Linked DNA regions of Drosophila melanogaster. The protein of the gene in region 3 interacts with the protein of the main gene of each other region in a pairwise test. Each region holds a gene or a part of one and is shown on either strand. Other genes may lie near its edges. The genes, in order: CG3368, Rich, CG5359 and shtd.

Region 1 (6,201 bases), about 17 Mb from region 3:
AGTCCATCGAATACATTGGCTACCTTAACCAGCAGAAACTCAAGCAGGAGGACGAGGGATCGGCGCTACAAAAGGAGGTAACAGCGTTACGGATCATTAAGAACGGCTATGAGAACATGCTACAGCATCAGCAGGCGAATCCAGGGCCGGAGGAGGCACGACTCACCGATGAGGCCAAGTTTCAAGTGGTAAGTATGGAGCGCTTACCTCTATTATAACCTCTAGAATCGCCACCCACCACCCTCCTCCGTAGTTCCAGGCCATTATGGAGGAAATGTTCGAGACATTTCAACACATACCCATGGAGAACTTTAAGCAGCTGACCACCGGCATTATCCCCTGGCTGGAGGAGCACTGCAAGCCGCACATCCTGCGCAACATACTCAGTCGTACCTTGCAGCAAATGGCGCAGGAGGCTATGGAAAAACAGGAACTTCAGGCCATGGAGCAGGAGTCGAGCGAGGGTTTCAGCTGATCGCGCGGTTAGTTCATATTCTCATTGGTTATTTTAGAAATCCCTGTTTGGTAGATACTTTCGTTACGTTTACTGCGTACAAACATTAAATGCGTCATTTGAATAGTTGTAAAAGCGTTGACAAGGAAAGATAACTTTTTGGCTTAATGATTAAAGATTAGATAAAACTAGATTTGCTAATGCTAGCCGAGAGACTCGACGAGAGCCGCTTTATCCGCACTACCCAGCTGGCCTAGCAGTTCCAGCAGCACATTCCGTGTGTACGGCTTGAAGCGACGAACTCGCTCAGTGACATCCAGCGCGGTGAGCAGCGCTTCAAGGAATCCCTCCAGACGTCCCGCGCTCCACACATGACGTGCTTCGTGCTTTAGTTTCAGCACGCCCGATGTCAGCGTGTAAATCAGTCCCTCGTAGAAGTTCTCCTCCTCCAGATTCGCGGCCAACTTGGCGCTGGCCAGCAGCGCCGCCGGCAGATCGCAGCGGAATTCGTGCGACCGCACAAAGCAGGTGGCCGCCAGTTGGCGGACCTGATCACATTTGTGCCGCAACAAATGCCAACTGAGTCGGCGGAAGCGAATGAGCAGGGGATTTGGCTCTTTCCCGCCCGACGTACGCAAGTGCTCGACCTTGGACAAGAAGGCCAGAAAGAGTATGATGGATGACGTGACCTCCTGGCGATCACAGCACCTCAGCATGTGCTCGCAAGCCTTGGGCAGCAAGCAGCCCAATTCGTCGTAGTCCAGCTCACTGGGTTCCCAGGCGGGTCGTGTGTCAAACTCTGTAGCTTGGCGCTGGCCGACCAGCTTGCCCAGATTGGCGCCAAAGAGTTGAAGTGCCGCATTCGAAATGGTCCATTCGGGGTTGGTGATGTGCTCCATGGCCACCAGCAGAATCTCATTGTAGTACTTGCTCATAGCTGGCCTCAGTTCTGTGTCGCGCACAAGAACGCAAAGGTAATGCAGTACCAATGCCTCCCAGCGATCGTGATTGCTATCGAGACAAACAGTCTCCGCGGTTTGGTTTTCATTTAGCCTCTTAAGAATCTGCTGCACAGCGCGATGGAGCAGCAGCCGCTGTCGTGGATTATCGTTCTTCAGCACGTGAAGGAACATTATGGCGAAGCCGGCACCACGTCGTGTGGTGCTCACTTGACGGCTTTCAGTCAGCAGCTCTCGCTCTAGGCAGTCGTGAAGCATTTGGAATCCCGAATCGCAGCTGTCTAAGCTACTGGTGATGGCACGGGTAAGTCTGCCAATGCTCAAGCCGGCCGCCTCTATGGCTCCTTTGTGCCGGCAAAGCGTCAAAACGGAAACATTAATATTGAGGCAACGACGCAGAGTCTCGGTGTTAACTGTTTTGGCAGACGTTTGCAATTGGTAACACCCAATGCTGGTGGCCAGATCGCAACAGCCCTGCAGAAGGATAAACAAATGATAAGTTTATCAAGAGTTAAGAAATATATCTACGCACCTTCAACGTTAACCAGAAGCTCATCAGTAAGTACTTTCGACAAGCCTCTTCCTCCCCATCACACTTGAAGGAGCTTTCGCTGACCAGCAGCTGGAGACTCTCGTCCATGTCCTGGAAACTGGCTGCTGTGGCTGCCTCTTCCTGTCGCCGGGCGTTGGCCACATTGAGGAACTTGAGAATGCCGCTGAGAATTCTCTCTAGCAATGGCAACAAATCCTCCAGAGGCGTCTCCACTGCCAAGCCAGCCTTGACCACCTCGTCCAAGGCGCAAAGATAGCCAAAGAGATGTCCTCCGCTCTTGGCGGTCTGCAAAGGATCTTCGAAGAAGGGATCTAATTTACCGGTAAGCCTTTTCAGGCACTCATCAAATATCTTTGATCCAGCTTGCTCTTTTGTAACCGCCAACTGTGCGTAGAGGGAAACCAAGGAGCATTGGTCCATATCAGACGTGTGGCACAGTTCGAAGCACCGCTCCACGCACTTTTCACTGTCCACATGGCCCATCTGAATCAACAGGGAGACCGTTAGGTCCAAAGCATCATCGAAACCTTGTGGATTGTTGAGGGTTTCGAAGAGCTGTTGCGCCATTTCCTTTGGACGAAAGACTCCGTGCTCCAGGAGAAATATGCCCATGCGCTGATTCTGCTGAGGACTGCACATTTTTGCATTTTTTGCGACTTCTTCTGCATATAGCGACCTATTTAGGATTTCCAGCAACTTCAGGGCAAAGATCTTGGGTTGATAAACCTCGCTGTGGATGTCCCGCTCAATCAGATGCTGAAGATGTGAAAAGAATCGCTTGATATTCTGAGCCAATGCATGGCCACCCACTCCGATGTCCGCCTTTAGAACCTTTTGAAAGTGCTTGGCCGTGTGATTGATAATCGTTGGCATCTTGCCCAGCATCGTGTTCCGGAACTCTGAGCTTTCCAGACAGCGATGTCGCTCTACAAAGCTGTGAAAGAAATCCAGACAGTCTTCGACGGCAAAGTTTCCCAGATTGTCAACCAGAAAGCGAAAGATCAACAGCTGCGCCTCCGTCTCCATCTGGCTGCAGTTGGTCAACAGCTCGGTGCTGATCTTAAAGAAGTGCAGCTTGGAGGTAGCATATATCTCCCTGGCGAACATGCTGAAGATCAGAATCAGACGTAATTGATCGCTCGGCGACCTTTCCTCCTCGGTGGCCAGGAACTCCACAATCTGAGGATTTGCTTGCAGCAGCTCAAACAACTCTTCCCGCTGTTGGATGCGCAGGAACCACTGCGAATGAAAGTTCTGAATCTCGGCCACACTGCCGTTAAGCAACAGCTCCACACTGGCTGCAAGTAGTGCCGGAGAGCGCTGGTTGCTCAAGCTTTTCACGGGATATTGACTGGCGGCCCGAAGTCCCTTATAGCTCAGGCTGAGCCTTAGGCCATTGAAGAACTCCTCTTCGCTTTGATTCGTTGCCGCCAAGAGATCAGGCAGGGAATGAGAGTTGAGAGCGCCGCTCAGCAGATAGTACTTGTTGCGATTCGTCCATGGCCAGAACTCCACAATCAAGCGAAAGTAGGAGAATGCTCTTTCCGGCTGTTTGCAGCAGTGGTTGTACAGCGTGAGCGTTTCCTCACGGGATCCCGTTTGCGTCTGGCGTTGCAGGCAGTGATAGAAGTGCTCCAACTTCAGCGGAAGGAGTTGCAGCTTGGGGAACTTCTTTACCAGCAAGTTTGTGGCCTTCAGCACGGCCATCAGGCTGGGATTGTTGCGCTGCAGAGCCTCAATTATGGCAGTGGTGCATTTTTCCTCCAGCAGCGCAGCATCGAGACGCTTCCAATGGTCGGTGAGCAGAATGGATTGGAGCATCAGGAAGGCAGTGGGTTGCTCGCTGGTCAAACGCTGGAAAAGATCCGCGAAGTGCGAGTCTTGTAGTTCGTACTTGTGCACTATGTGGTAGTACACACGGAAGCTAATGTTCAGGGCGGCTTGATTGGCACCACTGCACGTGTCCGCCTGCGCCGCCTCATCCTCCTCCGTCTGTATTCGTTGGGCCAGCTGCAGTGCGGCATCCTCCGGGCGGACATCTCCCAGGCCCTAGAAAGAACACAATATGTTACACCTCAGTCCCCGTGCCGTACTCAATTCACCTGCAGGTAGCAGAGGCAATCGCTGGGTCCGATTTTTGGCCGTTTTCCCGGAGATTCCGACATGCCCAATCTCAATTCTCACAACTTTCGTCTTACCACAACCAGGGCTCCACAAAACCGGCCACTGCGCTACGATAATTGCGCGGTAATCGATAATCGATGGCTTTTCGTTATCTAAAAACTTGAAACGCCCAACCGTTGTTGATTAAAAATTATGTTTCCAATTAATGTGACATATAATTTTTATATTTATCATTTATAGCGGTACCAAGTACTTCGTTTAGAGACTCAGTGTTTAAAATTTTCGTTATATTTTGTGAGGGATGGCTGTCTGGTAATGTTAACTAGGTACAGGGTACTGTATTCTGTTTTCTTTTACAGCGTTTTTAAATATTAAAAAGATGATAAATTTTTTTTTTTTTTAATAAACTTTATTAACAACAATCTTTGAATATAAAGCTTTCACAAAGCAGCTGTTTGATACAACCGATAAAATTAATTCGATAGCAGAAATTGCAGATCCGTAAGTTCAAAAGTTTTCTTGACAACCACAGCGCGTACAGGAAACGAGAAAAATATAATATTTTAAAGGTATTTCATGCAATCGATATAACAAACCGAAGACCAAATTGGCTCTTTGTTTTTTCAAGTGAGTGCTCCCTACAAAGTTCGTTATGATAAGAAAATGCATGTGTTTGTGCTCTTGGATTCAATGCTTGCAAGGTTTGCCTCGCGTTTTGTTTATTTATTTGCATACATGAAATTCAGATAAACGTGTGGATTTTCCTAGAACTGGTGCCATGCGTAATTAATGCAAATGCTTTCCGCATTTCCCAGCGTCGTGCTGCTCATCCACAGAGAATAGCTGCAGCCGATTTCAAGTTTCCTGTTCTGGCATCGCTCCCAGTTCGAAAACTCCAGCTTCCCCGCAACCCATCTTTTCGGTCCGCCCAATACTTGTAAATCTAGTTTCGACTGACTTCAGCACATGGCTTTCAGATGCGATACGAGATACAACCTATTCGCATTCTCGGCATCTGCCACCCCGAAAATTTCAAGGAAGCTCGGCTGAATGCGAATTTTTTGAACCAGTATTCAGCAGGTCGCCTATGTACTCGGTGTACATGGAGTTCTTATGCCGCAAAGGGGTAGTTTCTCACCTGTAAGAGGATTCACGAAAACCTTGTTTACCACACAGCTTGGCAGAAGCTCGATTTCCTACTGAGAATCCAATTTACAGTAGTCTCCCGTCGACAAGAACCTGAAATCGAATACCCAAAGGCCTAAGGTAATTCGATATCTTTGCTATTACACAAAAAGCAAGTTATTACAGTCGAGTGCGATTATCTGCGTTCACTTTGCTCTGACTACAGTGCGCACCAAAAGTAATCTCCCACAAGAACTTTGAAATGCTATAGTTAAATCCGTTAAGCCGTGAGTTTCGCTTTATTTTTAAATACTATTGCTCAGTTTCTAAGCTCAGTTATCCAACGGGCTTAAATCTCCAAAGTTTCAAACCTTTGAGCTAACACTCTTAACTTAATCTGCAATATTGAATTTAAAGATTATAGATAGTCTGAAACTTTCCGTTAGAGTCTTCTTCACTTCACGGAGAATGGCAGACGAGCGGAAAACAAAACTTGAAAAATCATTATACTCGATTTCAACATGTGTATACTACATTAAAACTGTAGCTTTTTGCAGTTTTTATTTGCTGTGTGTGTGTGTGTGTGTGTGTGTACGCGCGCGAACCCATAAATTTATATATTCCCCGAAATAACCCCGTTCTTAAAAAAAGAGCGGAATAAAAACGTAAATGGCAGCGAAAGAAGAAAAGGCGAAATAAAAAATAATAGGCAACTGTCTCTCCGGCAATCTCTCGCAATCTCAAAAACAACTAGCGACCATAACCATTATTTGTACCTTCCGAATACGAATACGAATACAAGTACGAACACGAATATATAACGTCGTAGCGCACACGCACACCAGCACAGGTGGCCGTTTATATAGTTGGGTTTTTGTAGGCCCGTTCGTCGCTTTTTCGAGTTTTAAAAATTAGTATTGAAATCGTCGTTAACGGCGACGGTTTGCCTCAGTTTTGACGCTTGAAAACGGTCGTATTTTCCACTC
Region 2 (7,547 bases), on a different chromosome or scaffold from region 3:
CGGTAACTTGGAGGAAAACTTCAAAAGCGCAGCACAACACGGACACAAACTCGACTGGGAGGGACAGCACTTCGGCGTTGGCACCATCCTAACTACCACCTGCATTACCAAATCAAGCAGGGCACGTAATGAATCAGTCACAGCGATTAACTTTTACAGCAGCAGCGGGCGAACAAATTACAACCGACGTTGTCGCAGAGTCAACCTGCCGCCAGGTCACAATAGTCGCAGAGGGTGAATGGCATGGCCTTTGATCCCTAGAAAATCAAGGAAACTTGAAAATACGAACTATTTCCGGTTTCCTGCACCAGCTGACAGATGCCAATGTAGATATTGAATGAATTAATGTTGGCCTATCACAAAGCCGTACGAAAGAATTTGGCAATTGATTTTCACTTCTTGTTCTCTTTCGAATAAAAACAATTTCCTTCTATTTTTTATTTTATTCGTAGTGGTTTTCAGGTTCATCGCAGTAAAATTAATCAGTTCGAATTGACACCTGAACGAGCTGCTTAAGAATACAAGGGTGGTAATTGTTAAATGGTTTCATTTATTAGTAAAAATATAATTGTATTTGATTTGTATATTTAAGTATATTGTTTGTATAATTTTAATTAACAAATATTGCAGCAAATTTCATCTACTAAATTATGGATTACGTTGCGTATGCTTCATACGGTTTTACGGTTTGTTTTGTTTAGCCGGCGACGCTTCGTTGTCTGCGTGTGAGTTTCCATCCGGTTGTTTCTCTAACCCTGTGTGAGTGTGTACGCCGGCTTACAATTAACAAAAAATTTTAACAACGAGCTACAGCAACAAAACGCTTCACCCCACGGACCTACAAAAAAAGTACGTATCTGCGTCTTTGCGCTGAGTATGTGGAGTACGGATTACGCCTCTCGCATTACGGATTACGGCTAACGGCTTACATGAGGCGACAGCCCTCCCGCTCGCGGCTGTTCTGCCGTGACAGTTGGCGCTGGGTGGGCGTTGAATGGGCAGAGGAACCGCTGGCCACCACTGCGTTCCCGTTAGACTCTAGACTGGCGTGCCGCGTGAGCCGCTGGTGATTCGGGTTAAGGTCCGCCACAGTCCATTGGTTTCCGTTAGCCTGCTGGGAATTTGGAACAAATTCGCCCACTTCGTTCTGCAGTCCCTGGAGTCCCGTGCTGACGTCCACGCCCTGCTCGGTACCCGGGCCGGCATCTTGGAGCTGCGAACAGGGAGCATCCCCCAGAGACTGTATGTACTGTTCTAGCAGGTAAACATGCGGTTGCAAGGTGAGGACGAACCCCCGGTACAAAGATCCGCTGTGTTCAAAGGTGCTCTGACTTAACTGTTTGAGTGCAGATTCCGTACGTCGACAGGTGTGAACCGATTCGCTTCGGATTATTCCGTTTACAATCCGCGAGATGGAAGCCGCGTCCTGGAGCAAAATGGAAAGAACCAGCGCGTAGTCCGTGCAGTTCGCCTCGATAAACAGCTGTAACAAGTAACGCAGCTTAATGGACAGCTTCTGAGGCAGAATATCCACGGCTAGGTCGTCCTCTGATGTCGGTAGCGAGTACAGCCGGCGGTAGCGAAAGTTATCGAACGACAGTTGCGATCCAGACCGCGTCTTAAGTATTGGTAGGGAGCTAGGCTGCTGCAGTTCTTCCTCCTCTTCCCTAATGCTTGGCTGCAGCTGTGGCGACTGTGTTGCGGCTCCATTGGGCGTGGCCAAGCTAAAATAGCCAGACTCTGACGTTTGCGAAGATCCACCGCCTCCTGTCTGTCGAAGACTGCCGCGTATCTGAGCAAAGTCGTCCTTTGCCGCAGTCGGAAATGGAATGGGGAGATCTAGTTCTTCGTGTAGCGCCTGCAGAGCGCCGGCGAAATCATCCAACTTGGCTGCCCGCTCTGATTCCTGCGAAAGCCAGCTGACAAGGTGAAAGTCCAGATAAGCACACATGTAGCCTAAATCCATTAGTTTGTGGTTCTGAAGTAGTTGTCGAGCATGGCGCTGCAGTATCAGATCGATGCAGAACGTCTCTCGCTGCTTAGTCGACCGCCGGCGCACCACCGAGGGTGCTCCTGCACTGCTGCTTTCGGTCACAGGTGCAACCCCAGGAGTCCCAGATGCCTGCTTATCTTTGGGCAGATTGCTAGTCACCGTGGTGGAGAAGCTTCTCTCTCTGGCAATGGGACCCAGAACCATGTTAAAGGCATCCGCATTCTGGTTCACTTGCTGCTGTGTATTCACCTGGGGAGGAGGAGCAATTTTCACATTCACCACCATCGACGACCGCGGTGAGTCGATCTCATTTGGATCTATAGCCTTTAAAAACCGGATCAAGTCCTTAGCCAGCTCCCACTTTCGCTGCTGTAGAGCAATGTCCAGCAGCATGGTGGCATATTGCTTGCTAACAACAGAGGGTTCTAGATTCTGCAGGATTATCAAGTAGCTCGCAGCCGTGTCCAGCTGCTCCGACTGCAGACACATCTGGAATAAATCCTTCGGTTTACCAGCCATCGAAAATAGGTACGGCCACAGGGCGATCTCTGTTTTGCGGGCACATTGAACAATTGTTTCCAAGTAGACGGGAAACTCTCTTATAAAGTCCAGAATACTGGGCAGCTGTGCATCCGGGATGGGCTGTTTGCTAGTAGCCTCTTCCTCGAGAACCTCGTGTAGAAGCAGTTCCAGAGCGTGCGGAAAATATGGTAGCGAGCAACACGACTGTGCCATTTCCCAGGCAGAGTAGCCCAAATTCCGCTTGATCAGTTGGCGAAGTACCTTGTGCAGATAGATCTGCGACTTGCGTTCCATAACGGCGAACGGCAGAGAGAAGTGGGAGACCTGCTCATTGGCGTAAAGCGTGCTTTCGTTCTCCACCCCCAGAACGATCACATTGTCAAAGAGCACGACGAGCGGATAAAGTTTCAGCGGAAAGCTCAGCATGATTCGCTTTGACATAAAACTGTGCAGACGTTGGGCGCCGCCCTGCTCGCCTTCGCGACGCTCCCTTCCCGGCGGCAGTATTGGAAGCCATACGCGCATTCCGTGGGCACCGGAGTAAAGCCAAAGGCAGTCACGCATCGCACAGCGTTCCAGGGAGTGTGACAGCCAGAAGACCTCAACGCAGCTAGCCAGGCAGGTGGCCAGCAAGGTGTTTGGGACCTATTTGGTAAACATAGATTTTGACTTTAGTTGCTATATGATATATCGTAATAATTGTCCGCGAAGTTGAAAAGATGCATACTCAAATTCCTTGTTATGGTTGGCTCGATAACCAAAGACATTTCCAAATAGAAGACATGCTGACGTTCGCTTTACTTTGAGATAACGGTAAATTCACATATGAAATGTATAAATGATTTGCATCTCTCCAACTTTAAGCATTTCGACAATTAATATTTTTCAAACATACCTGTTCGCCGGCATCGCGCTGTATCATCAATATGCGGCCGCATACATTCACGATGATAGTCTCTGCCTGATCTCCACCCAGCTGTCCCTGGGGCTTTAGCTCATTCTTGAGGTTAGTCACAGTCAGACTAACAATGCAGGCAGGATGGATGCAAATGCTCTTCACGTCCAATTCATAGGCGCATTCAATATCCAGGGCGTACGCTGAGTTTTTCGACATATTGAACAGGCTCACTATTCCATCGGCAGTGAGTACAATCAACTGGTGTCGGAATGAGTTCAGGCTAATAACTGGTGCTCGGACCTGCAGCTTGTGCCCGTATTGGTTGTCGAGTTTGCAATCTGCCGGATAGCAACGCAACTCATCCGTGCGGTCTAGAAGCGAATAGCAGCCCATGACTACAAAGCCATGCCACCACAGTAGGCCGCCAGAGACAACGAAGTCCTTCTCCTGCGACTCATTGCCAAAAAGCTTCCAGCGCCGGGTCACTAGGGAGTAGTGCGCCAGTCCAGTGCGACCAGCCACCGCCAAGTGGAGTCCATCGGGATCGATAGCAGCATATCGGATTGGCCAGTTTGTGGCCGCGTAGTTGAGCGGCAGCTGCAACACTGTCCAATACTTACTCTCCGTAAGAATGCTGCCTGTGTGCGGGCTTTGTTTTAACTCCAGACAGTCGCCATCACCGGAAATGTCTTCGTCAGAGCCCAGGCCGCTTGATGGAAACGTTCCATGGCTTCCGGCATACGTTAGCTCCAGATTATTGCCCTGGTTAAGGTACAGGCAGTCGTCACCCTGCAGCAGGATGTGCGGACTAGTCGTCATGCAGGGATTCATACTCAGAGCGCTCTTCACAAACTGCAGCTGAAGCACATTACTTTTGTCTTTTTCCGGATGCAGTTTTAGCATAAAAAGCTGATAACCCTCGGTTGACCATTCGAGCCGACGGATCTTGAGTGGATTTTGACAAACCAAATCTACGTTAAGGCCGAAATCCCAGCTCAGAGTAGACATTAACAATGCTCCGAATGTGCTCCATAGGGACAAGCCTCCATTTGTCCAACTCACAGCAAGGACGCAGCCGTCAGGGCTCCACTTTAGCTCGTTTACTGAACCCAGGCTGTCTGGGAGTATGTTTTCCGTGAGGATAAGTCGATGAGAAAACTCTAGTCCCCCGGTGGCATCATCAATTGCGTACACCTTCACCGCCGAGCTCTCTTGACCATATGCCAACAGTCGAAATTTGTGATTGACACTGCAGACACTCGCATCCTCAACATCCGGCACCCAGAAGCCGTGCATGTGATCGGTCTCAAATCTTAGATGGTTGGCAATCAGGAAGGCGGCTCGTCGGTCACTGAAGACGGCTGCACAGCCACCGATGAACGGCGAGTATTCCAGAGAAGCTACGTACGAGTCCCTGTTCAAGGGCGGCACATTGCGCGCGGACTGCTGAGGCTGCTGCTGGACGTAGAAGGGAATGTCGCGCAGCTTAATTGAAGATAGGGCTGGCAACTCTAGGTCGTTCTCTGCGTGCTCCAGTTCGGTCCACTGCAGACGCAGCAGTTCGCAGGACTGGGTGGCCAAGAGTAATTCGCTGAGGCTAATGCAGCACACAGTGGTGATGACGGAGCCCAAGGTGACGCTACACAGTTCGCGAAGGCTCAGCCGGGGTATGTTTTCCTTGATAAACAGCTCGGCGGAGTCGCGTTTGAGGCTCGCGGCGGGCGGATCTATCTGCTGCAGGATTCCCATGCCGTTGGCTTCGAAGTCCAGTTGGTACAACAACAGGGAGCCGGACGCGGTAAGCAGGGCAAGCTGCCGAGAGTCCGGCTTCCACACGATCAGCTGGTTGGCCCCGTACTGGCGAAGGGAGTCCTCCGTCCGCCGGAAATAAGCAATGGGAATGAGTGGATTCGCGTACCAGATGCCCAGAAAGTCGTCGCCCACGGCGGCCACAAGTATTTTCACCGCGTCGCAGCAGATGTGCCGGATGCTGGCGCTCTCGCCGGGCAGCGCCAGGCCCACCCGCTTGGGCCAGCCCACTGGATAGTACATCCTCCGTGTGAAAAGTTACTGCGCAAACGGAAAAGTTCATTAGCAAGAGCGGGAGTGCGGAAAAACGAATTCAACCTGCGGTCTGGTGCGGGTGCATTTAGCTTATGTGGGTTACGCCCAGTTTTACATGATCTGCCCCGATCAATTAGCACTTTTAGACAACATTCCACAGCACAACAAAAAATCTGAGCGATTTTACGCGTATACAAATATGAGTGTTGGCCAGCGTTCCAAAATCACAGCTGTTTGCCAATCGCCGTTTCGCACCACTGATTTTAAGAAGGCAACAGTGATGTCAGGCTAGCTTTTCTGCACCCATCAGCTGTTTCTTAAAAAATCGACAAGTGAATGCATTTTGGGTTACTTCTATTTTCGGCTATACGAGCCTTCTTATCGTTTTAAATTCATCTTTTAAACAATAATTAAATAAATACATTATGATTAGATCACGAACTAAATGTTCTACCCTTCATAGTTTTATCTCATAAAGTCAAGTAACATTGGCATTTATCCTATTCCAGTATAGTCAAGTAAAGTTACCAACAACTAATGAGTGTTGTTAAAAAGGAATTCCCGAAGATATTTTTTATGTTCAAACCCTTCATTCAAAATAAAGTTATTAAATACTTCAATTCATTGACCTGCGCAAGCTTACAACACTAAAAAGTTCCCGAATTTCGAGTCCGCGATCTAGTTCACCAACAACCACTGTCAATTCGAACTAATTCAACGCATCTCGAACTAAATAAATCAACCGGCTTTCGAGAGGCAGAACAAAAAGGAGATTTGTGAAGTATTCTCAAAATGACTGCATTCGAAGGTAAGTGAAAATTAATATTTAAGGTGTGCATTGCTTATTTGACTTGCCTCGCAGAGTTTGGCGTGCTTCCGGAGCTGGGAATGGCCACAGACGAATTGGACTGGACGTAAGAAAAAACAGTTCTGTCTGCCTATTGCCTTCACATTTATGAATTTTCAGCCTGCCCACCGATGTCCAGGCTGAGGCCATTCCTCTGATCCTGGGTGGCGGCGATGTACTGATGGCCGCCGAAACTGGTTCCGGAAAAACGGGTGCCTTCTGCCTCCCCATTCTGCAAATCGTGTGGGAGACCTTGCGTGATCTGGAGGAGGGGAAGGCTGGCAAGGGCGGTGCAATTGGAGGAGCTGTGACTCCGTGGACCATGTCCTTCTTCGACCGAGGAAACGCGCTTGCCGTCACTCCTGATGGTCTGCGTTGCCAGTCGCGGGAGTTCAAGGAGTGGCACGGGTGTCGGGCCACCACTGGCGTTCGCGGAAAGGGCAAGTTCTACTTTGAGGCCACGGTAACGGACGAGGGACTGTGTCGTGTGGGCTGGTCTACACAGCAGGCAAACCTCGATTTGGGCACCTGTCGCATGGGCTTTGGATTCGGCGGCACCGGCAAGAAGTCCAACAACCGCCAGTTTGATGACTACGGTGAGGCATTCGGCAAGGCAGATGTCATCGGCTGCCTGCTCGATTTGAAAAACCAGGAAGTGAGCTTCACCAAGAATGGCCAGAACCTGGGCGTAGCCTTCCGCCTGCCGGACAACCTTGCCAAGGAGACCTTTTACCCGGCGGTGGTGCTGAAGAACGCCGAAATGCAGTTTAACTTTGGAAAGACTGACTTCAAGTATGCCCCGGGTAACGGGTTCGTTGGCGCTTGCCAGGCTGGACCCGAGCATAGCAAGGCCAATCCGATAACCGGTCCCGCAGCTGGAGCACCGTCCGCCAAACCGGCGCCTAACGCCCCTCAGGCCATTATCATGGAGCCCAGCAGAGAATTGGCCGAGCAAACCTACAACCAGATCGAGAAGTTTAAATACCACCTGAGCAACCCAGAGGTTCGCTCCCTGCTGCTTATCGGTGGAGTGAGGTTGGAAGAGCAAAAGGCGCAGCTGATGCAGGGCACTCACATAGTGGTGGGCACGCCCGGGCGGCTGGAGGAGATGATCAACAGTGGACTGGTCCTGCTCACCCATTGCCGCTTTTTTGTTCTGGATGAGGCTGACGCACTTCTGAAGCAGGGTTACACCGAGCTGATTGACCGTCTACACAAACAAA
Region 3 (3,923 bases):
TCATGCGATACCAGCATACAAGGATCTGGATGCAAATCTCTTTCTGACCCTCTTCAATCCGCACACGCATGTCCCGCACCACCCGCTGCACTTTCCGCCGCCAGTGCCCGCTGCCTTTGCACCCATCACGAATGATTTTGAGCCACACTATATCGGAGAGGCGGCCGAGGGAAAGTCCAACTATAACACGGATGTGATCAGCCACGTATTCTACTTGGGCAATCAACAGGTGGTGCACACCACCTTCAAGGTATATAACGCAGTGCTGTACTACAAGTACTTTGAGCACCTGAAGATGAGCGTGCTGGAGTTGGAATTGGACACACCGGAGTACAACCTAATGATCCTGTTGCCCGACTACCACACGGATATTGTTGCAGCCGCCGCCTCCTTGAAACTGGGACCAACCCTTCGACTGATGCGGAAGCAGTTGAAGCCACGCTGGGTGCAAGCCATCATTCCAGATTTCAAGCTGCACGGCACCATGTTTTTGACAAACGACTTGCAGAATGTATGTATTCATTTGTAGAGTGCATTTTTGTGTTTTTATTGAGGTGTCTTTGGTTTTTGTGCTCTCTGTTGCAGATGGGAATGTAAGCATGGGTGTAATAGCTCCAGTTCCTGGCTTCATTTTACTTTCGTTGCAGCTGCGACGTATTCGAACCAAATCGCGCCGATTTCAGGCCCATGACTGAGGAGAAGGGCGTCTACGTGCGACACATTGAGCAATCCATAGACGTCACCATCCGTACGCATCCCATCAATCAGCTGAAGCGTAAGTGTCTCGCATTGCAGCACACCTGAATGGAATGGAGTGGAGGCATTGAGCCGCAACGCATTGCGAATGCCCAACCTAATGGTGTTGCAACAGTTGCAGCCTCTGCAACACGAGACAAAGTGCAATAAACACTTCCTTTTACTCTCTAGGCAACTACGGCGCCCAATCGAAGCCCATTCAGATCTCTGTGAATCATCCGTTTCTGTTTTTCATCGTCGATCGCGACTTGGACGTGGCTGTGATGTCGGGCCGCATACTGAATCCGCTGAACGTACGCATCCAATGAAGCACGACGAAGGTCGACTATCGAAAGTGATGAACCCTTTGTTCCCGGTGCCTACTAATACGAGATGTTAGCATTGCTTAGATTAAAATGTAAATATACGGGGGTGTCACGAGACTCTGGGCAGATGAAATTTGAATGGAAGTAAAGAAACTTCATACTTAAAATTATCATTAAATTAAACAACATTTGTTGAATATTTTATCTATATAATATTTTTAGAAAACACATCTCGTGACAACCCATTTAATGTAAGCTCACCCCATTAAAGTATAATCCTTAGTCTAACTAGTTCTGTGGGAAATCGGTTTTAGTACTGATACGTTCCAAACACTGTACAGACGCAAAAGAGACTGGTGTTGCTGAAGACCTCGGAGACGGAAGTGTCGCAGTCGCAATCCCAGCAGCAGCGCGAGTTGTAAGTGGCCCCCGCACCCAGCTCCTGGCCTAGCATCACCTGGACCACGTGCTTGTACCGCTTCACCAGGGAGCTGCTGGCTATCTGCTGGTTCACCTCGTCGGCGATCTCACTGGTCCACTTCTTGGCGACGTCCTTGTCATAGGTTTTGTCTTCAAATAGTGAAGTTGCTAGGCAACGCGCAGTATATTTATGGATTTTCACACTAACCTTTGAGTTTCTCGGCCATAACGTTGTTCATTATGCTCTTGATGGTGGGCAGGGGAAACATCTCCCCAAAGGCCGGTCGCATGCTATAGGCGGTGGGCTGGTCGCCGGGCTTTTCCGACTTTTCTTGATTTTCCAAACCATCGGCTGAGCCGGAGTGCAGACTTCCTGACGCCGACTTTTCCGACTTCCTATCCGCTGGGTTGGGCACTGTTAAAGTCTGGACGGATTTGGTTGTTTCCTCAGTGGACTGTTTGTCAGCCATCTTTTGTCAAATTCAGCGTAATTCCCTTTCAAAGTGTTTAAGAAAGCACCAAGAAAATCTTGGTTGCTATGTTTGTTTACTTATTGCTAGTGTTACCAGATGGTAAAATGGCTTTCCCGCCAATCCCTAATTGTCAGTCACCACGAATAACCGAACTTATTTGGTGTGGCCACTTTATAACAACGAAGTGTGGCACCTCTTTCATTTTCTGGATAATTTAAATTTATAATACGCGCCAATATTTTATGTGCGTCAAGTTAGCGTCGATGGCGGAATTTCCCCATTAAAGAACATTTCTTTAAGGACATTTAAGGAAAACTTCACGATAAAGTAGAACTATAAAATCGTCCTTAGGTTTCATAAAATCTTTATTCAATTCAAAATAAATCGAAAAGTTACATAATAAATTCGATAAATATGTTTTTATATATGCAGGTTATAAATAAAGTTACGCAATAATTTAAATGATTTCGTTAGTATACAGTTAATGGTTGCTTTCTCGCTTACATCGCTATGTGTAGGCTCTCGCATTTAGAAAATATTTGTGTGCATCTCTTTGTGTTCACTTTGATTTCGATTGGGGGCAAATGACATAATACATACATGGGTGTGCTGATCGGGAGGATGTGCGGAAGGTGCTTTGTCAAATAAATAATAATACACTCAAACGGTTTACATAGAAATCGACAAACAATCGCTAAGTGAAAATAACCTAAGAAAACTCAAATACACCATTTACATTTGCTCAAAATCACATACCCTTTGCACACGCTCACTACATTACATTAAATAAAAACACAACATATTGCATAGGACATACAAAAATCAGACAGATTTCAGTGGCAACGACTAACAAAACGTACAATTAGGTCGAATACGAAACTAAAGGTATTCGCAAAAACATTCGTAATCCCTACTTTTAAATTGCGAAATTAGTTTTTTGGTTTTGATTTCATCTCTGCCTGTTTTTACATTAACCTTGCGCGCTTCTCCCATATTAGTTAGGCTCTCTACTTATATAAATATTGAAATTGTTCTTAGCCAGCTTATCCACTTTGAATAGTTAGTTGCTCGTTTCGGTTACAGCTCACGGGTTTTAGTATTGTTAATTCTGTATATTCAGCTGCCTTTTTGGTACGCTCTCCCCTGTTCCCTTGTTTCATCTTAAGTATTTAGGCTCAACAGTCCATGCACCACTTCGCAGACCAGCAATCTCCAGGGAAAGTTGGCTATTCAAATCTGAAACAAGTGGTGTTGTCAATTTCAAATTTAAACATATAGGTCCTATTTACTCACGATCGATTCTTCGTGGTCATGCGGTTGTCCCGTCAGCTTAATGCCCGTTGCCTCGGCGGACGTGGATGCTGATCCCGCTGCCGTGAGGTCGAGCTGGGAGGCTGTGGGTCGTAGGGCGGCTCGCTTGGCGACAATTTCCAGCATCTCGTTGAGAATTGCTCCCTCGGCGGCCACATCGGCAGAGCTTTTGTCCAGTTCTGCAATGATGGAATTAAATATTATATCAAAGTTTTGAGAGGAAACTATAACACTCACTGTTGCAGGACAAGCGCAGATTGAGCTCTTCCTTCAGCTGGGCATGCCGATACTCCAGTTGCAGTTCCTGTTGCCTTATAGTCAGTTCCTCATCGCGTTTCCTAAAAACAAAATTACATTAGATTTGTTTATTATAGAGCTTCATTGATTAGCATACTTGAGTGCTGTGATGTTGCGCCAAATCTCCAAAAGTTCCTTAAGTAGCTTCTCGTCGTTGTCCTTTGTCGCATCCAGGCTGTAGAAGAGATTTCATTTAATGGGTATTCAAGGATATAGCCAGATCCTAGCACTCACTTTTCAATATTCTGCGCCTCGCCTCGCAAGGCCTTCTCAATAAGCACGCCGCGTGCCTCCAGATCCTTCAGTTGCACCTCGATCTCCTCCTGTTCCCGCTGAATCTCTTGAGCGATTCGCAATCGCT
Region 4 (7,569 bases), on a different chromosome or scaffold from region 3:
GAATAGCAGCATCACCTGGTGCCGCTTCATCAGCTCCGGGGGACTCAAATCCGTGCCTTTGGTGTCCAGGCAGCGACTGAGGAACTGCTTCACCATACGTTCGCTGGCAAACTGCTGCAGGTCGTTCATATCGATCTGCCAACAGATGCTCTGTTCCATCGTCAATGTTTGGGCCAGCATGCTCTTCAGCCTGTCCGGGTCCTCCAAGTGGGAAAGGCAGCCCGTTCGCTTCTTAATATCAATCGGTGCACTCATCTCCAGCGCCTTTTCCAGCTGATCCCAGTTGCGCGATCGCTCGAAGCACACTGGCCAATAGTTCTCGTCGTCCACCACCACCTGCTGCAGGGTGCTCAGCACTGGCAGGATGCAGGGAGCGATGGGCAGGCGGCGCAGCTCGGTGGCACCCACCTCCAACACGGATATGTTGGCCAGGCACAGCTTATTGGTGTCAATGTCCCGGGGAAGGAACAGGCGCGGTTCCACAGCCAGTACATAGAGATGTCTCAGCGCTTGCAGATGGTATCTTAAAATGTAAATCCATGCGGTGAAGTGTGCTAACACATTGCTGCAAATATATTAATCCTTACCGATTGTCGTTGCTGTGTATGGGAAACTTGGGGAAGAAGGCGCAGACCAGTGCAGCAATCGACTCCGGTGTCTGGGAAATGGTGAAGCGACCCGCGCCGAGGAATAGCAGGCCAAGCGACATGTGTATGGCCATGTGAGAGCCGTAGGTTATGTGCGGATATTGTGGTCCCACTCGCGACCTGAGAAACCGAATTATGCGAAGAATTTCGCAGTTGCCGGAGCCGGCGAACACCAACGAGATCGAGATGAGCAGCACCATCAGGCAGCTCTCCACAGTGGTGCGACCGGCACATTCGCCCATCGGCCTGCTGGGGAAGCGAAGGAAATCCTTTATCACCGACCGCAGCGTGGCAAAGGCCACCAGATTCTCAGTGCCGGCGTACTTGAGACCAATGCAGAAGGCAGCTCCAGCCATGATATTGCAATAGGCTTGCCTGGACAAGAGTATATAATTCGTATCTAATTACTTTGACATTCAACTTCAGTTACTCACGAGATGGCCTCGTAGTCCACGTCATAGTCCTCGGGTGCATACTCATTTTCGTAGAACGGGAGTTTTAGGTGAGCTCGGAGTGCTCGCGGAAACTGTGCCTGGAACCACGCGTTGTCCGGCCGGACATCCTGCCATAGGATGAGGCCCCGGGAAATTGTGCGCAGCAGAAGGAAGTCAGGCCGCACCATGTCCAGTAGATACCGCGAATCCGGCGGCTGCATCCATTCGGCAATAGCTGCGTTCCCCGAGTTGAAGAACATAAGTCCCAATGCGAGCGTTGCACCCGGAGCAGTGACATCTATGTTGACGGTATCGCCTTCACGAACTTGGAACGAGGCTAGTCGGTATTTCTCCTTCTGGGAACCGCCGATGGGTCTCTTCACTCCACCGACCATGTAGTAGTGCAGGGTATCCGGCAGTTGGAGGTCCCTTAGGCCCGCCGGCGATTCACCCTGACCGAGGGTAACCAATCCGAGGGATAGACCTGCTGTCATGGCATACGATTCGCGCTCAATGCTGTTCTCCATCTCAGGGCCTGGAGGACGGCCAATCTCCTGGAGCAGCACCTCGGCTATGTGGCGCTTAGCTGATCCTTGATAGAGCAAACCGACGCCCATTATAGCAGCCACCTGTGTGCTTTGCGGTATATCCAACTCCATGGCGGTGGCTGGCAGCAGTGCCTCCAAGTGAACGCTCAACAACTTTGTGGTTTTCGTATCCATGGTGCCGCGATGGGCAGCGGAAATGCCCAGCAGCAGACCAACGTTGGTCATCTCATCGCATTTAACCAAATACTTATAGACACTCATGAAGGACAGCGTCTTTAGGTGACCATTCAAGCCCAGGGCCATGAGGAAACCAGCGTGCTCCAGGGCATTATGCGAATGCGTTTTGGGCTTGTTGTAGACAATCCAATTGGAGTCTATGTCCTGAGCCTGGGGTGAGATCTTCAGGCCAGTGGCCACGCCATTGTGAAACGATGGCCACATTTGCATATTCGCTGGGAATTCGATCTGCTGCATTTCGATGGTGGTGCCCTTCAGCGGCTCCTTGCCCAACAGGCACAATTTGGGCATGGTCAAGCTTTCGCTGGGCCGCGGCAACATCGTTCTCAGGGTGAACATACCTCTGCCCACGGGCAGTGTCATTGTGCGCGAACATAGTGCAAACAGTTGCTTCTCCTGCTCCTCAATGAATTCGTGATCGCTGGTTCCCGGTGCCTGTTGCACTTCAATGACCACCGGTTCCGAGCTGTTAAGCAGACGGCGCACTTCATCCACCCGCATGTCATCGGGAAAACGCAGACGCAGTAGTTTTGTGTCCATGTTGTCCATGTCGTCGCGGCGCAATTGGGCCGGTGAATCAGTTTCTGATCCCCCGGTCGGCGGACACCTCGCTGACAGTGAATCTTCCTTGTAGACCCGGCCACAATGCGGTTGCCCAGTGCTCGTTTCGAGGAACGGCAGTTGAGCGTGGGCCGCCAATTCTGGACGCAGGATAAGTTCATAGGTGGCCATGCTGCAGCCCATGGGCGGCGAGAGGCGAGCCTCCTCCAGTGCCTCCGCTACAATCAGATGCACTGCCGCCGGGAATCTTTCAATGTCTCGCCGTGTCAAGCGCATGGCCAGAAGTAGCTGTAACATCTGATGGCTACGCGGAGCATCCGCCGTGATATTACGCTTAGAGCGCCGCGTAAAGTTGGCCTGAACGGCGCCGGGGATCTCAAGCAGCTGCCACCAGTAATTCAGACGCTCATGCCCATGAGTCACCAGCGATACGAGCTGCAGTAAAATGCGACTTCTCTCGTTAACGCACTCCAAGAAGGTGTAAGGCATCACCTCCTCCTCGCCGACAATAATGTGCTCGAGTTGGGCAAACACACTGGGTGCCGGAACCCTCAGAAGCTCCTGGTGCAGCATCATAGCTCCGTGCTCAGCTCCCAGCAACGAGAGCTTGCCCGTACGATTCGAGAGTTCCGGAAAGTCTAGTATGTAGTGCAGCACATAACTTTCCAGCTGCATATCGATGGCCAGCTGGTGTAGGAACTGGAACGAGGAGATGGTGTTAGAAAACCACTAATGGATCTATTAAATGATTCACCTACCGTTGCCAGATATGGAAGCGCTCCATAAAAGTCAGCGTCCAGTTTGAGATCCTCGTACAGTAAATGCAGGCTGAAGAAGATGGCGGGAATCATTCGGAAGAGCAGCGCACCGATGTTCACGCTGTAGCTGTGGCCATCGGCTCCGCAGGGAGCCAGTGTCGTCTGGAGCAGCAGGAACTCCCAGTCGTCGTCCGTGAAATCATCGCAATCATTGTATATTCGCCGTTTCTTCGGCTCATCCTGGCCACCCAGTGTAGAATTGGAACTGCAACTAGAACCGTCACTCGATTCCGTCGCAGTAGCGCCGCCTCCAAATTGAGTGTGCAGCGGTGGCGTGGCACATCTAGCGTAGTTCTCGCCCGCATCCACATCCGGTGCAGCAGTCAGACCCATTAGGGCGAGCAGTGTGGAGCGGAATAGCAGCCATTCCTGCTCTATGGAGTAATTCCTCGATCCCGGCGGATTCCTGTCGCTATACCAACGGATAACAAAGTCCAGGAACTGGGTCGGACTTAGAACCTGCCGTAGCGTAGCCACACATCTGGTGAGCAATCGTGTATCATTTAGAAATGGCAGCGCTATTCTGAGCATTCTGCCCGTGGCATAAACCAAAGTCAATCGATTTCCCGCCGGATCTCTCAGGGATTTGCAGACATTGTGCGCCTGCCGCTGTGTGTAGGACACCGGCTGCGGTTGGATGGGCGACAGCATGTGCAGCTCCTCTTCGAAGGCAGCCACATCCCCCGGCGCTTTTGTGGGCAGTAGGCTGCTCCTTCGCACCTCCACGAAAGAACTGCTGCCGGACGGAATGCCGCTTGCTGGTCCAGCAGCTGCCATTGGTGTTTTAACGTGAGACGGAGCGGGCGAAGCCGACGGAGATGGGGCAGCAGTCATGGGCGTTACCAGCGGTGTGGGAATGGAGGTAGGCGCCAAAAACGGCGTAATGTGCACCTTGGATATGAGCACGGTGCCTGTGTATAGAAGTAAGCTGCCACTCGGATCGAGAACGGCAATCATGTGCATTCTCTTCAGACCCACTGCATCTTTCGCGGCCAGCGTGGAGGCGTGCGTGGAGAGCTGCACCTCGCCCCTTCCATAGCCAGTGAGGCGGACCAACTGAAGGCGGCACGAGCGGGCCAGCAGGTAGCACAAAAAGGTCTGACCCACTAAATCCGTGTGGATAAATGCTCGGGTGGCCATCTCGCAGAACTCTCGTTGACTAAGGAAGACAGACAATTTTAGTACTGAAAGTGGCATCTTTGGTGGCATTTACTGACGTTCCGTAGATGTTCTCCGTCCAGATGTGCTCCATACACAATTCCGGCTCAATGGGTTTTGCCGGCTTCACGTGCGTTAACTTGCGCATATCCTTCACGGACATGGACTGCTGGCTAATACTGCTCTGCAGTTGGCTCAATGGAGTGCCTAGGGAGGCGCGACTAAACGGAAGAAGAGGCAATAATAAGTAAGTGATGGATGACAGCGACTTAAACGTACTTCGACTGTCCAAGAACTCCGCTGAACGACTGCGACTGGCTGAGTCCGAACTGGTTGCCCATGCCGGTGGTGGTGGTGTTGATATTCCTGGCCGCAAACGATAAGTTCGTTGCTTTTGGCGTGGCTAGCAATGGATAGACAGTGAATAAATCGTATGCCCTTGCTGGCATTGCTATCAACTCACCTCCAGTTTGCTTGGTGGAACTGAAACTATTGCCTGCCATCGACCTGGGTCCCATTAGCGTCTGTCCCAGCTCCATCTGCTGACTCACATAGTTGATCTCTTCGGGCGTTACCTTACGCAGGCGTGCAACGAAATGCTTAAAGAACTTGGCATCGTACAGCATCACCAAATCCGATTCCTCGGTGGTGAAGACCACAGTGTATTCCGGTTCGGTCATGTAGCCGGTGGAGCCGGTGGCCGTCTTCAGGACGACGGGACAGGCCTCGTGCAGCGGATGCGACATAGAGAAGAGACGCGGCATCGGAATGGACATGTGCGATATCAAGGCATTGCTGGAGTCCTTTTCCAGCAGCAGGCCATACTTGGTTTGCCACAGCTGTGACACGGGAAAGTCCAGATTGGCTAGAAAGTCCTCGCCGTTGCTGCAGTACACCCGCAGGGCGTCCTGATCCATCACACAGATGGCGGTCAAATGGTCGTCATCCGGGTGGACAGCCGCCTTCAGCTGCGCCAGTCGCCCGCGCACAAAACTGCGATTCAGGAAGCAGGCGAAGCGCACCGGCGTATCGGTGGTGAAACACATGCGCCGGTACACCCCATTGTCGGTATCGTCGTCATCGTTGACGCCTTGTGTCCACACCACCGTGTTCCGGTTCACATAGAGCTCCTCCTCGTTGTTAACCATATAGTCGCACATTGGCTCCACGCGCCGCACCAGCGGTGGATTGAGCAGTCTGTTCGGCAGCGAGGTGGCCTGGAGACCACATCGCTTTGTCCGCTCGGTCAACTTGCGTCGCAGGGCGGCGCGCTCCTCGGATGCCTCGTAGTCATCGTACAGCTCTCGGACTGTCCACGACTCCTGTCCGCCCGAAGGGCAGTCCTCACCGGCCGACGAGATGTTCACATTCTGGAGGCGCTGCAGCAGCAGATGCTCCGTGGTGGGCAGTTGGTGGCGCGCCATTGGCTGGTCATGTGGGCCCGGATGCTCCGCGGACGTCTGACGGCCGCGCGGCACAAACTCCAGCGGCGGTTCTGCGACGGCGATCATGTCCGCGTCGCCAGGTGCATCCAGAATTGCGATTGACAAGTTAATTGATTACAATTTATTATTAGCAAGGAATTTGCACAATTATTTAAAAACTGTCATCGAAATCGGGTGGCGATAAGTGCCTGATTCTATCGGGCCTGCAGTACTTCGATATGAGGAGAGCTATCAAAAGGCCGATAACGATAGGAAGACCAGAATCGCGACAAACAAAACAATTACCAGTATATGCCATAAAGTCATACCGAAAGAAATGCTAGAGAAATGGCTTTGCCTATTTTTAAAAATATAAAATATAACAGTTCGATTGCTTTTACTATCGATTACAATGCCGGTTGGTCACTTGTAGCAACCAGCTTTGGTCCGCTGGCGTACCGGTTATTTTCCCGGTCTGGCAGCACAGTGCGTTTGTTCGGCTTTTCCAATTGGATTTCGGAGTCTGGATTTTGATTTGAGCAGACAAACGGAACCGGAAATCCTGGCCAGAATTTGGCAATGAGCAGCGGCACCGCCGGCTGCAAGCGCGCGCACAGCATCGAGGTTGAGCAGCCGCTGACGTCGGAGCGCCTGGAGCACAGCCTGCTGTTGGTCAAGGGACGCCTGGTGCCCAAGTGTTCCACGGCGCGTCAACTGAAGGCGATCCTCGATCTGCCCGAGCACCTGTCCCAGGAGCAGCTCACCCAGCTGTCGGCCGGCGGCGAGTTTAAGCTCCTATTCGACTTGGAACAAGCGAATCGCGAGGAGGAGGAGGAGGAGAGCGCCTGCCTCCTGGAGTTGCGATCCTGCACGGCCACCCGAACGATTAGCTTCAGTTACCGGCCCCGCCGCAGCTCCTACCGGGTGCAGCCGCTCTACCTGCTCTGTCAGGACGAGGAGAAGACGCTGGCGCAGCAGCACGAGGTGCACTCCCTCATCGATCTTAATTTGCGGCTGGTGCAGTCCATCTACGCGCACAAACTGCACGCGGCGGGCTTTCCCAACCGCACCTTCACGCTCAACGGCAAGTGCTGCGCCTTCCGCAGCCAGTTGACCCGGAAACAGGCGCTGGCGAAGAGCGAGGACGAGCTGTGGCAGCATTTCGCCGGCGAGATTATCGCCTGTCCGCAGTGGGGCCACCAGTTGCTCCTCAAGTTCGTCGCCTTTGTGGGCTGCACGCGCTACGACGGCGACGCAGTGGTGGCCAGCGGTGACTCCTCGTACGCCAACATCCGGCGGCATCTCAAGGGACACGCAGCACTCGGTGGCGGCGGCTTGGCGCTCTTTGGTAGTGCCCACTTCTACGCGTGGCCCACGAGCTTCGCGGAGATCGGCGACTGTGTGCGCAGCGCCCAGCGGGTGGACATCGCCCGCCTGCCGGACGAGAGCAACTATCGGCGGACGTACGGCGGCGTCTATGCCAGCACCTTGGGCGCCGTGTGCCACGAACTGGGCCACTGCTTCGATCTGGGCCACACCAGCGAGGGTGTGATGGGCCAGGGCTTCGACTACTTGAATCGCGTGTTGACCGTGGACCAGCCCACGGAGCATTTGCCGCAGCGAATTGTGGACGCCCGCAGGGGCTCACTTGCCAATACTAATTCATCCGAGGGCGGATCATCCTCATCCAGCTCCACCTCCTCCTCCTCCTCGTCCGCCGGCAGTGGCGCCGCAACGGGCAA

The links.
Region 1: the proteins of CG5359 (region 3) and CG3368 interact in a two-hybrid assay, tested with the Drosophila melanogaster proteins (one large-scale study listed by BioGRID).
Region 2: the proteins of CG5359 (region 3) and Rich interact in a two-hybrid assay, tested with the Drosophila melanogaster proteins (one large-scale study listed by BioGRID).
Region 4: the proteins of CG5359 (region 3) and shtd interact in a two-hybrid assay, tested with the Drosophila melanogaster proteins (one large-scale study listed by BioGRID).

Annotation. Positions count from the first base shown.
Region 1 is NT_033777.3:27,281,772-27,287,972, reverse strand, and holds CG3368 (uncharacterized protein), read right to left. Parts: upstream 4,194-6,201; 5' UTR 4,132-4,193; coding exon 4,069-4,131; intron 4,016-4,068; coding exon 1,946-4,015; intron 1,888-1,945; coding exon 658-1,887; 3' UTR 525-657; downstream 1-524. Other genes in the region: bigmax, read left to right, coding at 1-188, 254-475.
Region 2 is NT_037436.4:22,257,214-22,264,760, forward strand, and holds Rich (RIC1 homolog), read right to left. Parts: upstream 5,709-7,547; 5' UTR 5,541-5,708; intron 5,484-5,540; 5' UTR 5,466-5,483; coding exon 3,411-5,465; intron 3,161-3,410; coding exon 926-3,160; 3' UTR 536-925; downstream 1-535. Other genes in the region: Ddx1 (Dead-box-1), read left to right, coding at 6,270-6,285, 6,340-6,391, 6,445-7,547.
Region 3 is NT_033777.3:9,999,251-10,003,173, forward strand, and holds CG5359 (uncharacterized protein), read right to left. Parts: upstream 2,027-3,923; 5' UTR 1,952-2,026; coding exon 1,690-1,951; intron 1,632-1,689; coding exon 1,372-1,631; 3' UTR 1,323-1,371; exon of another isoform or gene 1,256-1,322; intron 1,119-1,255; 3' UTR 1,065-1,118; coding exon of another isoform or gene 928-1,064; 3' UTR 776-927; coding exon of another isoform or gene 648-775; 3' UTR 594-647; coding exon of another isoform or gene 586-593; 3' UTR 521-585; downstream 1-520. Other genes in the region: Spn85F (serpin 85F), read left to right, coding at 1-511, 586-593, 648-775, 928-1,064; Mical (molecule interacting with CasL), read right to left, coding at 3,185-3,190, 3,248-3,444, 3,503-3,603, 3,660-3,737, 3,797-3,923.
Region 4 is NC_004354.4:15,456,422-15,463,990, forward strand, and holds the start of shtd (shattered), read right to left. Parts: upstream 6,021-7,569; 5' UTR 5,915-6,020; coding exon 4,867-5,914; intron 4,807-4,866; coding exon 4,683-4,806; intron 4,625-4,682; coding exon 4,463-4,624; intron 4,405-4,462; coding exon 3,186-4,404; intron 3,127-3,185; coding exon 1,082-3,126; intron 1,023-1,081; coding exon 588-1,022; intron 524-587; coding exon 1-523. Other genes in the region: CG6294 (uncharacterized protein), read left to right, coding at 6,407-7,569.